Mus musculus: one gene and its partners. The protein of the gene in region 1 purifies or fractionates together with the protein of each later gene. This does not show direct contact. Links are inferred from orthologs where the notes say so. Each region holds a gene or a part of one and is shown in the gene's direction. Other genes may lie near its edges.

Evidence for each region. The genes of interacting proteins can lie anywhere in the genome.
Region 2: the proteins of Insig1 (region 1) and Scap purify together in Homo sapiens (affinity purification with western blotting; 11 studies listed by BioGRID and IntAct, with this or other methods). This does not show direct contact. The link is inferred for Mus musculus from reciprocal best matches to the Homo sapiens genes INSIG1 and SCAP.
Region 3: the proteins of Insig1 (region 1) and Amfr purify together in Homo sapiens (affinity purification with western blotting; 6 studies listed by BioGRID and IntAct, with this or other methods). This does not show direct contact. The link is inferred for Mus musculus from reciprocal best matches to the Homo sapiens genes INSIG1 and AMFR.

Annotation. Positions count from the first base shown.
Region 1 is NC_000071.6:28,069,000-28,074,808, forward strand, and holds the start of Insig1 (insulin-induced gene 1 protein), read left to right. Parts: upstream 1-2,412; 5' UTR 2,413-2,438; coding exon 2,439-2,796; intron 2,797-4,547; coding exon 4,548-4,672; intron 4,673-5,482; coding exon 5,483-5,649; intron 5,650-5,809. UniProt on the Homo sapiens protein: Oxysterol-binding protein that mediates feedback control of cholesterol synthesis by controlling both endoplasmic reticulum to Golgi transport of SCAP and degradation of HMGCR.
Region 2 is NC_000075.6:110,331,259-110,337,083, forward strand, and holds the start of Scap (sterol regulatory element-binding protein cleavage-activating protein), read left to right. Parts: upstream 1-2,097; 5' UTR 2,098-2,247; exon of another isoform or gene 2,248-2,508; intron 2,509-5,825. UniProt on the Homo sapiens protein: Escort protein required for cholesterol as well as lipid homeostasis.
Region 3 is NC_000074.6:94,008,913-94,014,657, reverse strand, and holds the start of Amfr (E3 ubiquitin-protein ligase AMFR), read left to right. Parts: upstream 1-2,017; 5' UTR 2,018-2,196; coding exon 2,197-2,439; intron 2,440-2,529; exon of another isoform or gene 2,530-2,629; coding exon of another isoform or gene 2,630-2,650; intron 2,651-5,745. UniProt on the Homo sapiens protein: E3 ubiquitin-protein ligase that mediates the polyubiquitination of lysine and cysteine residues on target proteins, such as CD3D, CYP3A4, CFTR, INSIG1, SOAT2/ACAT2 and APOB for proteasomal degradation.

The DNA of each region.
Region 1 (5,809 bases):
TGGAGGTCAGGGGTAGATCTCAGCAGTCTTCCTCAATTGCTCTCCACCTCTTTTTGAAACAAGGTCTCTCTCCGAACTCAGAGCTCAGTTTTAGGTGTATGATCCAGCTACCATGCTCCAAGGGTCCTGTCTGCCTCCCTAGTACTGGGACAGACATGTACTGCTACATATGTGGCTCCTTGTGGGTTCTGAGGGATCAAACTCCGTTTCTTATTCTTAATCAGCAAACACGTTACTGACCAAGTCATTACCTCACCCCAGATATGATTCTATTTTCTGAACAGTCTACAGTGAGCAAGGGGTGAGACTACATTAAAATAGCCAATCTACTTCCTTATCTAGTCCGTTTTAAGAATTAAGTCACAAATGATCATTGGTATTATCCCAGGAAGAATGGCAGAGATATAGATAAAAAGCAATGGGTGGCTCCCAGGTAAGTTCTCAGTAGATGGAAGCACCTGCAATCAGCAAAGCTGTAATGATTAACATGAAGTGGTACAGTGAAGGGCCAAGGAGCTCCACCTCAAAAGCATCTCCCTAGCAACCCCACTCATCCTCAGGGCCAGAGAAGGGACCCCTGATCTTCCATTTCCAGTATGCATTAAAAACAAACAAAACAAACAAACAAAAACAAAAACCTAGCAGGCCTTGGGTATCATTTTTGATAGGCAGGCAGCCTCTCCAAGAGCCTCAGTTTGAACTCTTCTCTACCGTCACCCTACATTCACTGAAAGTGAGGTAAACTGCTCATGAGCCCATAGCAGCCCCCGTGGGACCCCCAGAGAACCAGGCCACAGGGTGTATCCTTCATGGTCCACAGGGCACCTTGGTCTGCATACCACAACAGCCACCAGGGTTTAAGCCCACAGCTTGCTTTGTCCCGGTGCAGATGAGCTGGTCAAGCAGCAGCAGAGGTTAGACTGCATTAATACTGGCTTGGGTAAGCAGAAGAAACAACCAAGTTGGTAACAGAGCAATTGTCTGAAGATATCAACCCCTGCCCCCAGGCAAGCATCACAAAAGCACACAAAGTATTATTAGAACCTCTTAGCCTACTTGGTAAGAATTATAACAAGAGGAAAAAAATCCGGGGGAGAGTCTGTAAAGACAAGCAAAATGGCTTGAGAAAAAGGGACTGAATTACATCTCAGTGCTCACAAGACAGATGCTTGGTGCTGGGGCGTGGGTGCAGGGTCTGGGACTGTCCCATCAAGCCAGCTTCCTGCAAGTGACTGGCATGTCTGTTCCTTAGGGCCAAGTTTCCTATGAGCGATGTGTCTGTTCCTTGGGGGCAAAATTGTGTGTATTTACACAGGTGTCGCTTTCTCAACATCTGTTTAGAGTACTTGCAGCTGATGATGGGTGGTAGAGGCAGCACCTGCTACATCCCACAGCAGAGACTCACTGCCTTTAACAATTTCCTATCAGCTGAAGCTGGGCAGGCCCTCCTGCTTTCTTGCTGTCAAAAAGGCTCCCATGTTGCTGTAATACACCATACAGTACTGATGTCCCCAACCCCCGTGTGTGTATGCCCATGAAACCTCACATGCATGGACTGGCCAGAGTGTGGAAAATGGCGAAGACCCAAGTTGCAACATTCCTTGAAGTCAAAACTGCTTCAAGCTCTTCCAAACAACGCATAGAGCCGCCTAAGAGAGGAGTGGACAGGCTGTGAGGGAAAGACAGCCAGGTCTCCACACCCGTGTCACGCTGGGAAAATGACAGCCCCCATGATCTCTGAGAAACAGCCTGCTTAGGAGGGTGACTTTGTTTTACACTTTTGGCACAAAGCCACATTCCTTACCTAAGGTCTCACACACACACAGTGCCTTTTCAGGCCTGCTCACCACCCTGTGGTTTTAGCCGGTGGCGTCTTGGCTAGGGGAGCCCTGGTCTGAGCTGTGAACCTGCAGAGCACTTGCCATTAGCAGCCAGCCCAAGCGATCCCAGGTCTTTTAAGCACTCAGGAGGGTTTGCGCTCCGGGTCCTTTCCTTCGGACCTGCGTGGACCTCATTATCTCAGAAACCGAGGTCCGGCAGCGCAATAGGGCAGCATCGGACCATCTGACTCGCTGGCCGCCCGCTCCGGTGCCCGCCCCGGCGCCTGCCCGAATAGCGCGCGCTCGAGCGCGTGCCGGGCACCAGCCCCACCCCCCCGGTGGCGTGTGCATACGTCATATGGGCCGCCCTCCTCCCATTGGCTCCGGCGGCCTCACCAGACCCCGAGCGGACAGGCGCGCGGACAGGGCGGGGCCGCTTGAAGACACGCCCCCCAGCAGGGCGCGCGGGCGGCGGATAGGCTGGGTGAGGTCACGTGGCTCCGGTGGCAGCCTGCCTTATAAGCGGAAACCGCGCGGGGCCGCGGCCGCTCCTGGGCCGTCCGGGCGCGGTACGTGTAGTGTCGTGGCGTGTACCTTCCATGCTGTGCCTGGACGCCGATGCCCAGGCTGCACGACCACGTCTGGAACTATCCAAGCGCGGGCGCTGCGAGGCCGTACAGCCTCCCGCGAGGCATGATTGCGGCGGCCGCTTGTCCGCAGGGCCCCGGAGTCCCCGAACCCGAGCACGCGCCCCGGGGCCAGCGAGCGGGAACCACAGGATGCAGCGCGCGGCCGGGCAGCTGGCACCACGACTTGGTGCAGCGGAGCCTAGTGCTCTTCTCATTTGGCGTGGTCCTGGCCCTGGTGCTCAACCTGCTGCAGATCCAGCGGAATGTCACGCTCTTCCCCGACGAGGTGATAGCCACCATCTTCTCCTCCGCCTGGTGGGTGCCCCCGTGCTGTGGCACGGCAGCGGGTGAGTGCCTTTCCTTGTTCTTGGGGTGGGGGAGGGGGATGAAGGGACACGTCAGCTGTTAAAGTCACCCTTGTTACAAGAAAAGGAGAACGGAGAGGGTAGGAAACCCCAGACGTTGGCGAGCGACAGGCGGAAGTTGGAGGGACTAGTGATGGAGATGAGGTCAGGAGATAATTGGCAGTTTAAGTGGAGGAGTCGCAGCTGTCTCGTTGAGCCAGAAGCCAGGATTGGCCGCCTGGAGAACTGGTGAGGGCAGCACCACGCAGCTATTGGCTGCCTGAGCAAACGTGCTACCTCGCTGGATAACTGAAAACAAACCATCACGTGCGCTCAAGAGGCAGTTGCCAGGGGACAGACTTCTCTGCCTTCTGCAGATTGTGGCTATCAGCCAAACCTTCTGGAACTCCGTGCCCAGTAGACTTGGGACAGGAGGAAAAAAGGAGCCTTTGGGCCTAAGCACACCTATGGTGTCACCTCTTAGGCCCAACGAAACTTGTAACAGTGCCACAGTCTTTTTTCTTTCCTTGATCATTTTGCTGCTTTTTGCCAAAAGTGTTGAGTAATTACAGTCCAACAGATCCTGCATAGTTTACAGTGTACAGCGTTGATAACCATTTGTCAAGTGTTTCTCCCCCCTCAGCCCTGCTTGTCCTTGTCCTGTCCTGTGTAGGTGGGCAGTATTTGCTCAGGTGCATCTTTCCTCCAATCTGCAGCCACAGGACAGCAGGAGCAGTGCCTGTCTGCTTTGAAGCCAGCTTTTATTGACTGCCTGCCTATGCTTTATATGCTGGGCTTGGGTGCTGTGCTGTAGCTGAGTCATGGGTTAAATGTAGGATGCAGGACACTTAACTGTTGATTTCCAAGGCTGCTTGCTCTCAGGCTCACCTGCAGCATTATGAGGGTCAGCCACATGACAGTTGTGTGCTTCTTGGTTGTTTTGGACTGGGGGTGGCCTCATTCATGCTAGGCAAATCATCTGCCACCAAACTACTATCCCCAGCATTTAAAAGTTCCTTGGGGAATAAGATGGAGATTTGAATTCTCTTTTCCTTACATATGAAACCTAAGGCTCTTTGAATTTGAAAGTTTATCTTCAACATGAAGCATCATGTTTGTGATGAAAGTTTAAGGGAACCCAGTAAACCAGTTTCTCATCTGAATATGAGGCTGGACTGGTACTGCTTTCACCACTGAGGCTGAGTGCCTGTGTTCACACTGGACAAGGTGGGACGGCAGCCTGACTGAGGTCTTGTGCCCTGTGTCCATGAGACTGCTCCCACTTGTACTGCAGACAGTCCCTCCCTTCCTGGGTTTTACTCTCTTTGTGTCTTCTGGAGTGCCCAACTTCTGCTGTCCAAATGTTTTGGAGTCCAATCTGTGTTTGTGACAGTTCCTAACTCTGAGAACCACAGAACCTTCTTTGCCCTCCACTTTACTTACATAATCCTCATTTCACACATGCGAAAACAAACTCGAGGAGACCTGTCCAGCCTCTCTCCCTTCTTGAGACCCTACCCTCCTCACAGTGTGAGACTTGTCTTCACTGGGGCCAGGTCAAGGCTGAGAAAAAGAGAGCAGTGTGGGGTGGCCTTCCCACAGCCTTTTCTTACAGGTGTATGTAAGGTAATACTTTGTGCTACAGGTGACAAACTGCCGAGGAAAATAAGTGGTTTGGATCCTACTAATAATGACCACACAAGGACTGATTTTCACCAGTGTATCCTAATCCTGTTTTGTTTTTCTTTAAACAGCTGTTGTCGGTTTACTGTATCCCTGTATTGACAGTCACCTGGGAGAACCACACAAGTTCAAGAGAGAATGGGCCAGCGTTATGCGCTGTATTGCCGTGTTCGTTGGCATCAACCACGCCAGTGCCGTATCCTCAGTTGGTGTCTGTGCAGAGGGTCATCTGGGTTGTGGCAGGGTATATTGACACTGCTCGTCCCCTCGTTCCTGAGCTTCAGAGTATGACTTGGCTTTCACGTGGCAGGAATTTTGGGGTTCCGTTCCTAGGACCTCTGTACTAAGAGTAGAAGCAGAGGTTTACTGTGGCTCAGTGGACTTTTGTCCTCTCTCTTGCCTTCTACCCCACTGATGTGCTCTGTGGTAGTGAGAGCCCTGTCCCTGTTCTCTGTCACAGGAGCCCAAGGCTGGTCAGGAGGTCCCTGCGGGCTTCTACTTTCCATAGCTGACATTTTGCCCTTCGTGTAGGCTGCTGTGGTTTTATGCATTTTCTATGAAAATGACCAATTTGATGGTAAACTCTTCAAATGCTAAGTTTCTAGAGCAACTTAGAGTAAAAGATCTTGTGAAGTTGTGTCTGCACTTGGGGCCTTCCTTTCCTGCCAGCCAGCTCTGAGAGTGCTCACTGACAAGCACTGAATCAACTTACCTACTACCTAGGGGACACAGAGACAACATGGAGACAGTGCCCGCCTGTCTCCACTCACTGAAAAGTAAAGGAGGGAGGAGAGCATTCTTAGCAATCTCCCAGCTGTCAGAAAGTTTACTATTAGAAGCCAGCGCTCTGACTGGTCCTCACTGGGGGTCTTGGGATTGGTCATGTACCATCATTAGAAGCAGACAGTTACTATATAGTGATACACCCTGTACGTAATTCTGGGGTTTAGGGGTTTTTTTTCTTATGATAAATTATAAAATGCTTCCTTAACTTTTGGATCACTAGAAATTAGATTTTGCCAATAATGTCCAGCTGTCCTTGACTTTAGCAGCCCTCTCTTTGGGTTTGTGGTGGACATTTGATCGTTCCCGAAGCGGCCTTGGGCTTGGGATTACCATCGCCTTCCTAGCTACGCTGATCACTCAGTTTCTTGTGTATAATGGTGTCTACCAGTAAGTTCGAATTTAGAATATTACTTTGGTTTTATAACACCTGTTAAAATGTAAATGTTTTTTATGAAAATCTTGAAATGCTTTTTTTCAATGCATATTGAAAACTCACCACTCAGCTGGGTGGATTAGGGGTGATTCATGCCTTTCATCCCAGTACTCA
Region 2 (5,825 bases), on another chromosome or scaffold:
ACACCCTCTTCTGGTGTGTCTGAAGACAGCTACAGTGTACTTACATATAATAAATAAGTAAATCTTTTAAAAAAAAAAGTACATCTTTTCTTTTTTTTTTTTTTAAATCAACTCGGGGAACAAAGGGTATATTTGGTTTGCATTTCCATGTCCATCAACAAGAGTCAGAGCAACAAAATACACCACGTAAAAAAATAAATTTTATTTTTATTACTGAGGTTTGAGCTCAAGGCCTTGATGCTAGGCCCTACCAGTGGGCTGCATTTTCTTATCTTTGTGGGGGCCAGACTTATGTACCAGACTGGCCTCAAATTGGAACCTTGGACTTCTGTTCCTCCTGCCTGCATCTCCTAAGGGCTGACATAGGTGTGACCCACTGAAAGATCCTAACAGAATGTAAAAGGTCACAGAAGCCCTGAAATTGGCAAGATAGATGTCACTGTTAGCAGAACTAGCTTCACTGATTTAGAAAAATAGAGGTGCACAATGCTCTGGCCACTCCTTGAACTTGTGTGTCTGCCAATGTTTTGACCATTCCTTGAACCCATGTGTGTGCCCACTGATGAAGCCCACTGCCAGGTGTTTGTGATATTGGTTGCTGAGAAAGAGTCAGAAAATCTCCCCAGCAACCACAACCGGGCCAATCCTGAGTTGCTGCCCCTGCACCAGACTCTTTCCTTGTACCCCTCCCATACCCATTTCTTGAGAATTGTTTAGATCTGGAAATCCCCCCACTCTCCCCTTCTCCTTTCCCCCCTGAGGGCCTATAAAAACTGGGACCTCTTTCCCCTCGAGGTCGACTCCTCTAACCCTGCGTGGGATATGAGTCATCCCCAGAGCTCTGGCTTTCCCCGAATAAAGCCTCATGTGGTTTGCATCAAGCTTGGTCTATCGTGAGTTCTTGGGTGTCTGCTATTATCCTGAGGCCTGAGCGAGAGGCTCCTCTGGGGAGTCTTTCACCACCACTGCCAGTTTGCTGGGGGTTAAGGCTCATATTCAAGGCTGGGCAAGCAGTATATCAACTGAGTTACATCTCTACCAGAAACCTGCTTTATAGAATAACCCTATTCCAAAGGCTGAAGTGGCCACCTCTGATTTGTTTTGCACGGTGACTATACTTATATTTTCTCTTCCCCCACCACTGGTGCCCTTGAGGGCAGGTACAGGGTCTGTTCTACCTTAGTATGCCTTGGGGGTGAGCAAGAGTGACACGAAAGAAGTATGTTTAAGGTAGCAAGATGGGGGCAGGTGGCCACTCTGACCTGTGACACTCAGAGAGTCAAGACATTGGTAGTGTGGTTGAGATCTCTCCACAGGCAGGCCTGAGGACAAATGGAAACATAGCAACCAGGGTTGGTGCTGTTGCTGAGTGTCTGGAACCTCACTTTCCCCAAGGCCAAATGAGAGAACACACACCATATGCTTAACTCAGCATTTACCAGAGCAGTCACTCAGCATAATCCGTTACATGTGCAAGTCGACTGGTGGCAGTTCAGAAGGTGGAAGAGACTCAGACACCCATAGTTCCTCTACGTGGGAATAAACACTGAGTATATATCTTCCACTTTACCCTATGCATTGTATTTTTAACAAAAATGGAATCCTAACACCAGCTTGGTTTTGAACTAGCTTTCATTATAAGTGCTCATTTAACATCCTTGGTGTTGGAGGCTCCTATACCTAGTTCATCAACTGAATACACTTGCTATTTAGCTCAGTTGCTTCTAATTCCCTGGTTTGTTTTTCTTTTTGATGCTGCTGTGGATCAAACCCAGGGCCCCTAGCGTCTCAGGCAAGCTCTCTACCACTGAGCCATACACCCAGCCCCGCTTCTAATCCTTTGGCACTATAAAGCATGGAACACGAGCTCTTGTGCATGTTCTCAATCACTTCCCAGGACAGTGATGCTGTCAAAACTCTGAAGTGCTACTAGCCACCTTTTTCCAGGCCACAGGCAACTCCAGTACTTCCTCTCGCAGTTGTGTGGCAGGGGACCACCAGGGGGCGAACCCGAGCCGTTGGCAGTGCCAGACTACGCATGCGCACGCCGCCGGGAGCACGTGTGGAGGGCGGCGGAGCGGGAGGGGAAAGGTAGGAGTTGAGAGGTGAAGGGGCGGGGAGCTGCGCGGGCGCCGGGCGGCCGGGAGGGAGAGGGCGGGCTCCAAACACCGGACCGCGGGCCAGGAGCGCGCAGGCCGTTCTCCGCCGCTCGGTCGCCGCCGCCCGGGAGCTGCCTCGCTGCCACAGGTACCTCAGCGCGCGTCTGCACGGTGCGGCTGGGCCCCGGCGCCGGCCTCGCGCCGCTCGTGCCCGGGAGTTCCGGGATGCGGGCGAGCCCGGGCAGGGGCGCGCGGGCGTGGGCGCTGTCCAGCAGCCCGAGGCGCGGCTCCGGAGACCGCAGTCTGGAGCTGGGGGCCGGACGGTCTCGCGTCCCCCTTCCCGACCGCGCCCCCGCCCGGGCCGAGCTGCCTGGGTCGCGATGGGTTCAGGCTGAGTGAGCTCAGGCAGGTAGGCTCGCCGCTGGATCCTGCTTTGGGGTTGTCTGGGGTTGTCTGGGTGAGGGCTAGACCCTGTGACTCAGTCCTGCCTCTTTCCGAAGATCCGATAGCCAGGCAACATGTAGATTCTCTGCTGGGAGTGCTCGGTTTCTGGTTTTATGTGTTGCTTAAACCTAAACTTTGCTCGCTTATGTTGCTTATGTTTACTTCCAGGTGGTTTTGTTGCATCAGGGTTATAATGGGATAGCGCTAGCTGCAGCGAGTCCCGGGTCCACACTGCATCTCAGAAAGTTGTGCAGATGGTGGCGATGAAGAGGAGGGCAGTGAGCCACAGGTGGCGGCGGGTGAGGGGTGGGAGTGGGAGTGGGGTCCTGGAGGTAGTCTTCCTTAGTTTAGCTTATTTATCTCTTATGGTGACGGAAGCGATGAATAAATAAGTTCATGATGATCTTGTAGTAATTCTTGTGAAGTCGACATAGGAACAGTCTTTAATGATGCGTTTGGGTGCGTTTGTAGAGTTTGCTTATGCAGTGTGCAGCCATCTCAAGGTGTGCTAAACATTAAAGCTTTTCTTAGAGTCAGGATCAAGTGTATCTAGTTAGTGCTGAATGCATTTTAGGTGTAACCTGTGTGATGCTCAAGTGAAGATTGTATGTTATGAAGTATATGCTAATGTATTTCAAATCTAAAGGCTTTTTATATATTTGCAGCGTTTCTGCTTGGCAAATATTTTGTTTGTATTGTTTTTTTAACGACCAACAGGAAATACAAGTATAAACATTATTCCTATACTCATTATTAAGTTACTTGGGGACGTGTGCCTAGGGCATTGGTCTGCCACTGAGTAACACCTGTGGCTTTTTATTTTGAGTTGGGCTTCATTGCCCAGGCTGACCACAAAGTTTCATCCTCCTGCCTCGGTTTCCTGAATATGTGGGATAGCAGATGTGTGTGCTCCTGCTCCTGCTCGGCACTCATTCTTTGGTCAGGTTGAAAAGCAAGAACTGGCTTCCCCTTACTTGAAACTCCGTTGTTGTTGAATACTCTCTTGTTACTGTGTGTGTGGGGGGGGGGGGGCGGGTGGGAAGTACCTCTCCAGATGTTTCCATGTGCTTTAAAAGTCACGGTTTGGGAACCCTACCACCCATTTAGATTACTGTCCTGAGATGGGCACAAAACCTTTACTCTTAGTTTGTGGCTAGAACACAGAACCATAAAAATTGTGATTTGCCTGAGGCCATATGTAAGCTGCTTAACTGTCCTGTTGGGAAAGGGACCATGCCTGCCGTCCGTTTGTATTTGTTAATGTGGTTGGTTAGAGTTGCCACAGTTCAGGATCACTCCAGATACTCATCTCGGCGAGCCTAGAATTCATGTGCACTTTGCTCACTTTGACAGTCTGTATCCTTCTGTTGGCTGCGACAAATACCGCATGTGTGGTTTTCATTCTCTTTCCCGTGGAACCAGTTTCCAGGGTCATCCAGTGTGTGCATGGAGAATCAGGCCTTCAAACTGTGTCTTCCGGATTCTGCCATACGAGCTCCTGACCCTGGAACTTACCACTGTTCTGAGTTGGCTAAAGAAACAAGATCCGGGTGACTTTAGCCACCTAAAGTGATCCTTGTGGGTAATATTTGTGGAATTTTTCAAGGCTCTGGCTGTTGGGCACAGCTTATCTAAAGTTCCGTAATGAACAGATGAGATGATAGTGTTAGTCTATAGGGTGAATTTCAGGCAAGTTTTCTCACTGGCCAGTTAGGGGCTGTGCCTGTATGCGAACTTGTTTGCCCGACAACAGTCCGTGTTTTCCTGCAGATGTGCCCACTGGCTTCATAGTCTCTCTATTGTTCTCTTAGCAAATGGGAGGTGGAAGAGGAGGTGGTATGAGTGGAGGAAGCAGCCTGTGTCCAAGATGGCACATCTCAGTACGGCACGGCTCTCTTTCTCTCCTCTTCCCCACTTGGCTTGTTAGACTTTTCTAATTTTTAATTTTTTTTAAAATTTGTGGAAAATAATATATAAAATAAAATGTACAATTTTAATGATTAAATAGAGTAGTCAGGGATATTAAATATACTTACAGTGTTGTATAGCTGTCATTATTACCCATTTTCAGAACTTCTTAATTATTGTACACAGAAACTGTCCCCATTAAACAGTCCATATTTCCTGTGCCGCCTACTGCTGGCAACCTCTGTTGTACTCTTTTTTTCTGTGAGCTTGCTTGTGATAAGTTCTCTCATCTGAGGAGAATTGTAATTATGCTTTTTAGATTATTTCACTTTTGTTTAATGTGTATGAATGTTTTGCTTGCATGTTTGTATGTGTACCATATGTATGCCTGGTGCCCTCAGAGGTCAGAAGAGGCTATCAGATGCCCTGGAACTGGAATTAGGCATGGTTGTGAACAACCATGTGTGTGTTGGAAGCCAAACCTGACAGTCTGCAAGAACAGGTACCTTTAACTGCTGAACGTTCCCTCCGGCCCCAGGTCTTTCTTTTGAGTCTGGTTTCTTTCACCTTGATTTGAAGGTTCATTCATGTATTGTTTATTACATTTCATTCCTTTCTCAGATCGAATTATATTATTTTGTTTGTATAGCCACATTTTTTTTTCAAGAGTTTCTATTTATAGCTAGGCCTGTCCTGGAACTCGTAGACCAGGCTGGCCTTGAGCTCAGAGATCCACCTGCCTCTGCTTCCCAAGTGCTGGGATAATGGATGCTGCTATATAGCTACATTTTAAAAGAAATCTACCTTTCAATGAAGAGTGGAGCTATGTCTACCTTTTGGCTATTAGGAATGGTGACGTCAGGAACATGAGTGCACAGTTAGTCAAAAGGCTGACAATTAGGAGGAACTCAAGTGTATAGATCTTTGGATTTTTTTTTTTAGATTTATTTATTTATTTATATGTACACACCCCAGAAGAGGGCATCAGATCTCATTACAGATGGTTGTGAGCCACCATGTGGTTCCTGGGACTTGAACTCCGGGCCTTCGGAAGAGCTGTCAGTACTCTTAACCGCTGAGCCATCTCTCCAGCCTGGTCTTTGAATTCTTACTTTTAGTTCAGTGCGTGTTTTTTGTGTGCTATTTGGATATACAGTTGTCTGTCAGTATCCATAGGAGATTGGTTACAGGAACCCTTTTAGGCACTAAAATGTGTGAGTTTTTATGTATGTGGGTATATTCCCTGCATGTATGTCTGTGTACCACATACATGCAGTGCCCCCTGGTCCTCTGCAAGAGCAGCCAGCACTCTCAACTGCTGACCCATGTCTCCACCCCCTAGGTTTATTTATATTGTTTTTAACTACATGAAGG
Region 3 (5,745 bases), on another chromosome or scaffold:
TGTCTTCAAAGTAAAGCTTCCAGTAGTGCAGCAGAGAGGAGAGGGAGGGAGGGAAGGAGGGAAGGAGGAGGAAAAGGGTTCGGGAAACAGAAGGTGTTTGCTTGGGTGTGGTGGTTCATGCCCTCCATTCTCTAACCCTAACAGGAGTTTCAGTAGGGGAATTGCCGAGAGCTGGAGGCCAGACTGGGTTAGACTGAGAACAAGCATCTCAAACAGGTCCTCGAAGGAAGGATGACATGCAGAGCACTTTCTTGAGGGTAAAGGAATAGAACAATGACTGTTCTCTTTCAAAACAGAAGCCATCCAAAATCTTTGGCCTTATCTTAAAGTGTAGCTGAGCTGGGTTAATTTCATCTGTTACAGATGCTGGATTTTCAGAGAGCCCACGCTTCTGAGATGAAAGAAGGCAGCTTTGTTATCATCAATATGAAAGGACAAGTTTGGTATCTAATACTGCTGGGTTGTAGCTTACATTGAGTGTGCATCACAAATGAATGGTTTAAAAATCATCGTGACTCAGATCTGACCTTGTAAAAATCTCTCTGGAAAATTACCACCCAAGTTTTTTTCAGAATAAAGATTTCCATTATTTGGACAATAGTGTTCCGGCTTGGTATTTTATTTTTACATTTAGTTATGTGTGGGGGAGACACAGATATGGAAGTCCGAGGACAACTTGGGGGAGTTATGAGAATCAAACTCCAGTTTGTAGCAAATGGTTCATCTCACAAGCCATGTTGCAAATGACTGGGAACGAACCAAAGGGAACTATATTGTACAAAGACTCATGATGAGATGTTTTTAAGAATTATAACAGTGGTTAATTTTCAGATTTAAAAGATCTATAGAAATATTTGGCATGAAAAAATACTACAAAGACAATTTCTCCACATTAGAAAATTTGGAAAATTCAAAGCTGTTTACAGAGCTACATTCTGGGATAGGCACTAACACATGGCTCGGGGATATAATAATTAAAAACTGTACCCTATGTTATCTTATGTAATTCACATAGATATAACCTGCTGTTTATAGTGTACAATTCAGTGACTTTGAGTGTATTCATAGTTGTATAACAGCAACTTTAGAAATTCTCACTTCAGGAAACTAGTACCCCAACCTGTCACTTCTTTAGCTGTCACCTCCAGTTCTTTCAAACTCCCCTTCTACTCTACATTGCATGCATTTGTCTTATCAGCGTGGTCACACAGAATTTAGATATCTGTGTGTGGCTTGATTCAGACATCGTCAACATTCTCTGATATTGTAGCATTATCTGTACTTTATTTTCAAACGCTATAATTCGAGGTTTGCCTCTCTGGTTTTTAGGAGTAGTGCTACTGTCAGCCTCAATGTAGGGACTTTGTGTGGGTGTCTGTTTTCATTTCTCTTGGATGTTTACTTAACAAGCAGTGTAACTGCCAGGACGAAGGTCACCCTTTGGTTTACCTTTTAGGAACAGGTATTTTCCAAGAAACTAAGCAGCATTTGACATTCTTACTTGTAGCTAAGAGGGAACAGATTTTTATTTCTGGTTAAATTGGTTCCTCCGTTTTAAAAATATTCTATCTCAAGGCTTCTCTTATTTCCTAAGCATCATGTCGCTTCTTTAGGACACCAAGGAAGCCTCTAGTCTACAGGGTGGTGGGATGGCGGGTTTACCAGCTTTGGCGGGGAGGAACAAGCGACAAGTGGCCAGGGGCAGGGGTCCCGCACCCTCACCCTGCCGCCTGACCACGCACACAGGCCTGCCGTCATTGCCTACGGGCCAGGCTCACCCCAGAGCCCGGCTCGGGTGCGCTCGTGGCTTCAGTGGGCCCAGGGTCGCCAAGGATGCTGCAGGGGGCCGGGACGCGGGGCCCCAGGCCGGGTCCTGTGCTCTCGGGGTTGCAGAGCGCCGGCTGTGGGCGGGGGACGAAGGCCGCGCCCCCGCGCCCGTCCCGCCCGCGTCCCGCTAGGGGCGGCGGCCCGCCCCGAGTCCGCCGAGGCTCTTCCGCGCCGGCAGGGGCAGCAGCGGGAGCGGCGCGGGGCGGAGCGGCGCGAGCAGCTAGGAGCGGCCCGGCTCGGCCCGGCGCAGCGGCGGCGGCAGCGGCAGCGGCAGCGACGCCAGAGCCCGTGGGCGCCTTTCGCAAGGCCGCCGCAGGCGCCTGGCCGCAGCGCGGGAAGCCTCGGGGGCCGGAGCCCGTCGCTGCCGCCATGCCGCTGCTCTTCCTCGAGCGCTTCCCGTGGCCCAGCCTCCGCACCTACACGGGCCTCAGCGGCCTGGCCTTGCTGGGCACCATCGTCAGCGCCTACCGCGCCCTCAGTCAGCCGGAGGACGGCTCGGGTGAGCCGGAGCCGCTAACGGCCCCACTGCAGCCCGAGGCGCGCCTGACCGCCGGCGGCCCCCGGGCCCGCGACGTGGCCCAGTACCTGCTGTCGGACAGCCTGTTCGTGTGGGTGAGCGAGGCTGCGGGCCGGGCGCGGGGGCGGGCGGCCGGGCGGGAGCCGCCATGTCACCCATTATCCGCAGGGGGGCGTGGCCGGGCCCTGACCCCGGCCTCCTCGGCCCGGGGACCGCGGCCCTCGCGTGGGGCTCGAGGCCCAGCGGCGCTGCGAGCGTGGCGGGCCGCGGAGAGAAGGTGTCGGGATGCCGGGGAGAACAGTCGAGGCAAGGGCGGTCGGACCCGCGGGCTCCAGGGCGGCGGGGTGCGGCGACCCGAGGCTGTGAGAAGCCGCGACACGTCCGGTTTAGCTCGGCGTTGTTGGGGGCGGCTCGCCGACGAAGAGAAGGCCGAAGTTAGGGGGACATTTTACTCTTCGCCAGACAACTTCGAAATGGTGCTATTTGTCAATGCGTTAGTCCCGATGGGCGCTATTTAACGAAGCAAACAGACCAGCTACGTCCTTTTATCTCACCCCCAACCACCCCCCGCGATGGTTTGTGACTGTTCCCTTTTTGACAGAAAGCAGCAAAACACTTTCGGGTCGGTGTGGCAGCCCCTCCTTTGAACGCGATTCCTCCGTTTAGCGATCCATTTTGAAACAAGGGTTCTAGTTTGTCTGCCGGTGCGAGATAAGCAATGTCCACATGCCACAAGTACTGGCTTCGTTTGTTACATCATTTTAGGCTGGGCAGATCTGAGAAAATTTTGCTCTCACCTTGCACTTGAGTGCCTCTTCTATGAACCCTCAGAAATAGGAAAAGTTGCTCCCGGATTTAAAAAATTGTCACTTGGATTTCCTGTGGCTTGGTGGGGATCGTATCTCCCCACACGGCGCCTAGAGAAGGCTGTAAATGACTGAGGGGTTAATGTTATAAGTTTGTAGAACTATAATGCAACTCATTTGTTGTAATTATTCCCACTGTGCTTCATCAGGAAGCAGCGGGATTTGTGAACTTCGTGGGCTGCAGATGACGCCTCCTGGTCCTTTGGTGCATAGTTTCATAGAAGGCAGTGAAGGGCAAAGTTCCCCTTTCTCTACTCCTAAGAAAAGATGAACTGTTCGTCTTTAGGGTAAACAACTTAGAATTATTATGTTGGGAGTGCTTTTGACAAGGGTGAAGACTATAGTGTATGTAGTCGTTGATACCTTGTTTTAAGCTGGAACCATTATTCTATTACTAGAACAGCCAATAGTATTGTTTAATGTTTTTTTTTCGTAAGTTTCTTCTTGCAAAACCCACGTTCAAATTCCAAGGTTAATAACATTTCATAAAACATTAATCTAAGGCCTTCCCTTTGGCGTTTCTGAGAATTGTCATTTTAAAGAATGTTCTTTTTCTTTGCACAGTCTTACCTCATATAGATTGATCATTCCTTCCCCTCCTTTGAATCCTTATTTCTCAGTTGAGCTTTATTCGGTTTTCTTGCATGTCCTCTGGAGTTTTGGCACTCATGGTGTCTGCCCAGATCTATCTTGTGTGTGCTGTGAGTTTTGTTTATCGTTTAGTACTTACTTTGCGCAGCTATGCCTCACACTCTTTAAAAACCTCCCCTGTTCCTGGCAGGTAACACTGAGTGTCAGTGTGGTGGGCCTTTGTCAAAATGGATGCTTCTTGAGCCTCACTCATAGGCCTTAGACATTAAGGGGGGGAACCCCTTCCCCGCCTAAGAACAAAACATTGTCTGCCAATGCCAAGCAAGATTAACAAGAACCTGTCCTTTGTCATTGCCAGTCGGAAGTCTTACTAGTTATTGTTTTGTCAGACTCTCTAGAACTTGTCTTTGTAGAACACATGCAGTAGTCTCTCAGGAGGTTTGATATTAGCACAGGCAGATGAAAACCTTTCTGAGGAAGACTCAGCTACCAACAGCACTTCCCCCCTACCCTCAAATGACTCATATGTAAATGAGGCTACTTACAATAGGTGACAATAGAACACATGTGAAGTCCTGTGGGGTTTCCAGGTAGGAGAAAGGCTTGCTGTGTGGGACTGACTACAGCTTCTCTGACTTAAAGGGAGTTGAGAGGTTGGAAGGAGACCAGAGGTAAGAGGAGGTGGCCCTGCTGAGAGACAGGTGACAAGCCTTTGAGGCTCCTTCTCTTCAGGTGTGGCACTGAGGCTCACTTGTGGCTTATGACAGCCATCTTTGGCTTGTCACTCCTCCTGCCACATGCAGTGAGAAAAGTAGGTGGAATTTCAGAACTGGTTAGGTTGGTTCTAAACTTAAAACTTTAAAAGACAGATCCTGCAAGTTCATATTTCAAAGGTCAAAGTAAACAAAAGTGATAGACAGCGAAAGGAGGTCCCTGTTCCACCTGCATCCCATTCAGCTCCTTGTAGCTGGTGCTGGCCTTAAATGGGAACCTAAGAAACAGTCAGCCTCAAGTCCTTTACCCAGTTCATTTCTGTGGCTTGCACGCGTATACATGTGCACATATTCTTTCTGTTTCACACCTGCACCTGCGTTTTATTCTCTCCCTGAGCTGGATGCTGCTTTGAACTTTTATCTAACGTTACCTTGACGTGTCAGGCGTGTGCCCTTCCTGGGCTGATGCTATCAGCACCTCCCGTGGATCCACTGGCTGCCTGTTTGTGAAGTCTTCAGGGATGGACACGAGGGCTCCATTTCTCTGCTCTTGTACAGTGGTCTGGCGAACCCTTTTAGCGTGATTGGATTCTGCCTGTGAGAGGAGTTCGGTGTATGGCACAGATGACATTTTAAAATAGCTCTTCTCTGCTGTCCAAGTGAAGGGAAGCGGCTGTCCAGATCAGGCTTGCTGCAGCAGACCTATGGTTTATGGTTCTTAGAGACTCAGTTTGTCCCATGCTTGTTGGGCTTGAAGTGGGGGCTGACACGCCAACTCTGCAGGAGTGTTCGGGGTCCTTGGAAGCATCTGATTTAGGGTTTAAAGGTCAAATGCTCCTGTTAGTGCCTTTGAGCAGCTGAAGCTCGTTTTGTTGAGTTTCTTTTTCTTCTCTGGTTTTAGAGACCCAGTCTGGCTGCTTAGGACAGAGTGCTGTGCCGCCTGCTGTCAGTCCCTGTGTGGTGGCCTCAGCCTCCCCTCCCCCATGATAGACTTGTAGGCCTGGGCCGCCATGCTTGGCACAATGTTTACATTTTCAGTTGAGATTGAAAAGTTACTGTGTTTATTAGGATGACATATTGAATACTTGTGAAGTTAGGGCCTTTTTCTTTATTTTTTTTGAAGATTTGTTTTATGGGTATGAGTGTTTTGCCTGCATATAGAAATGTGTACTGCACACCTGCCTGGTGCCTTGGGGGTTGGAAGGCGTCATTGGATTCTCTGGAACAGGAG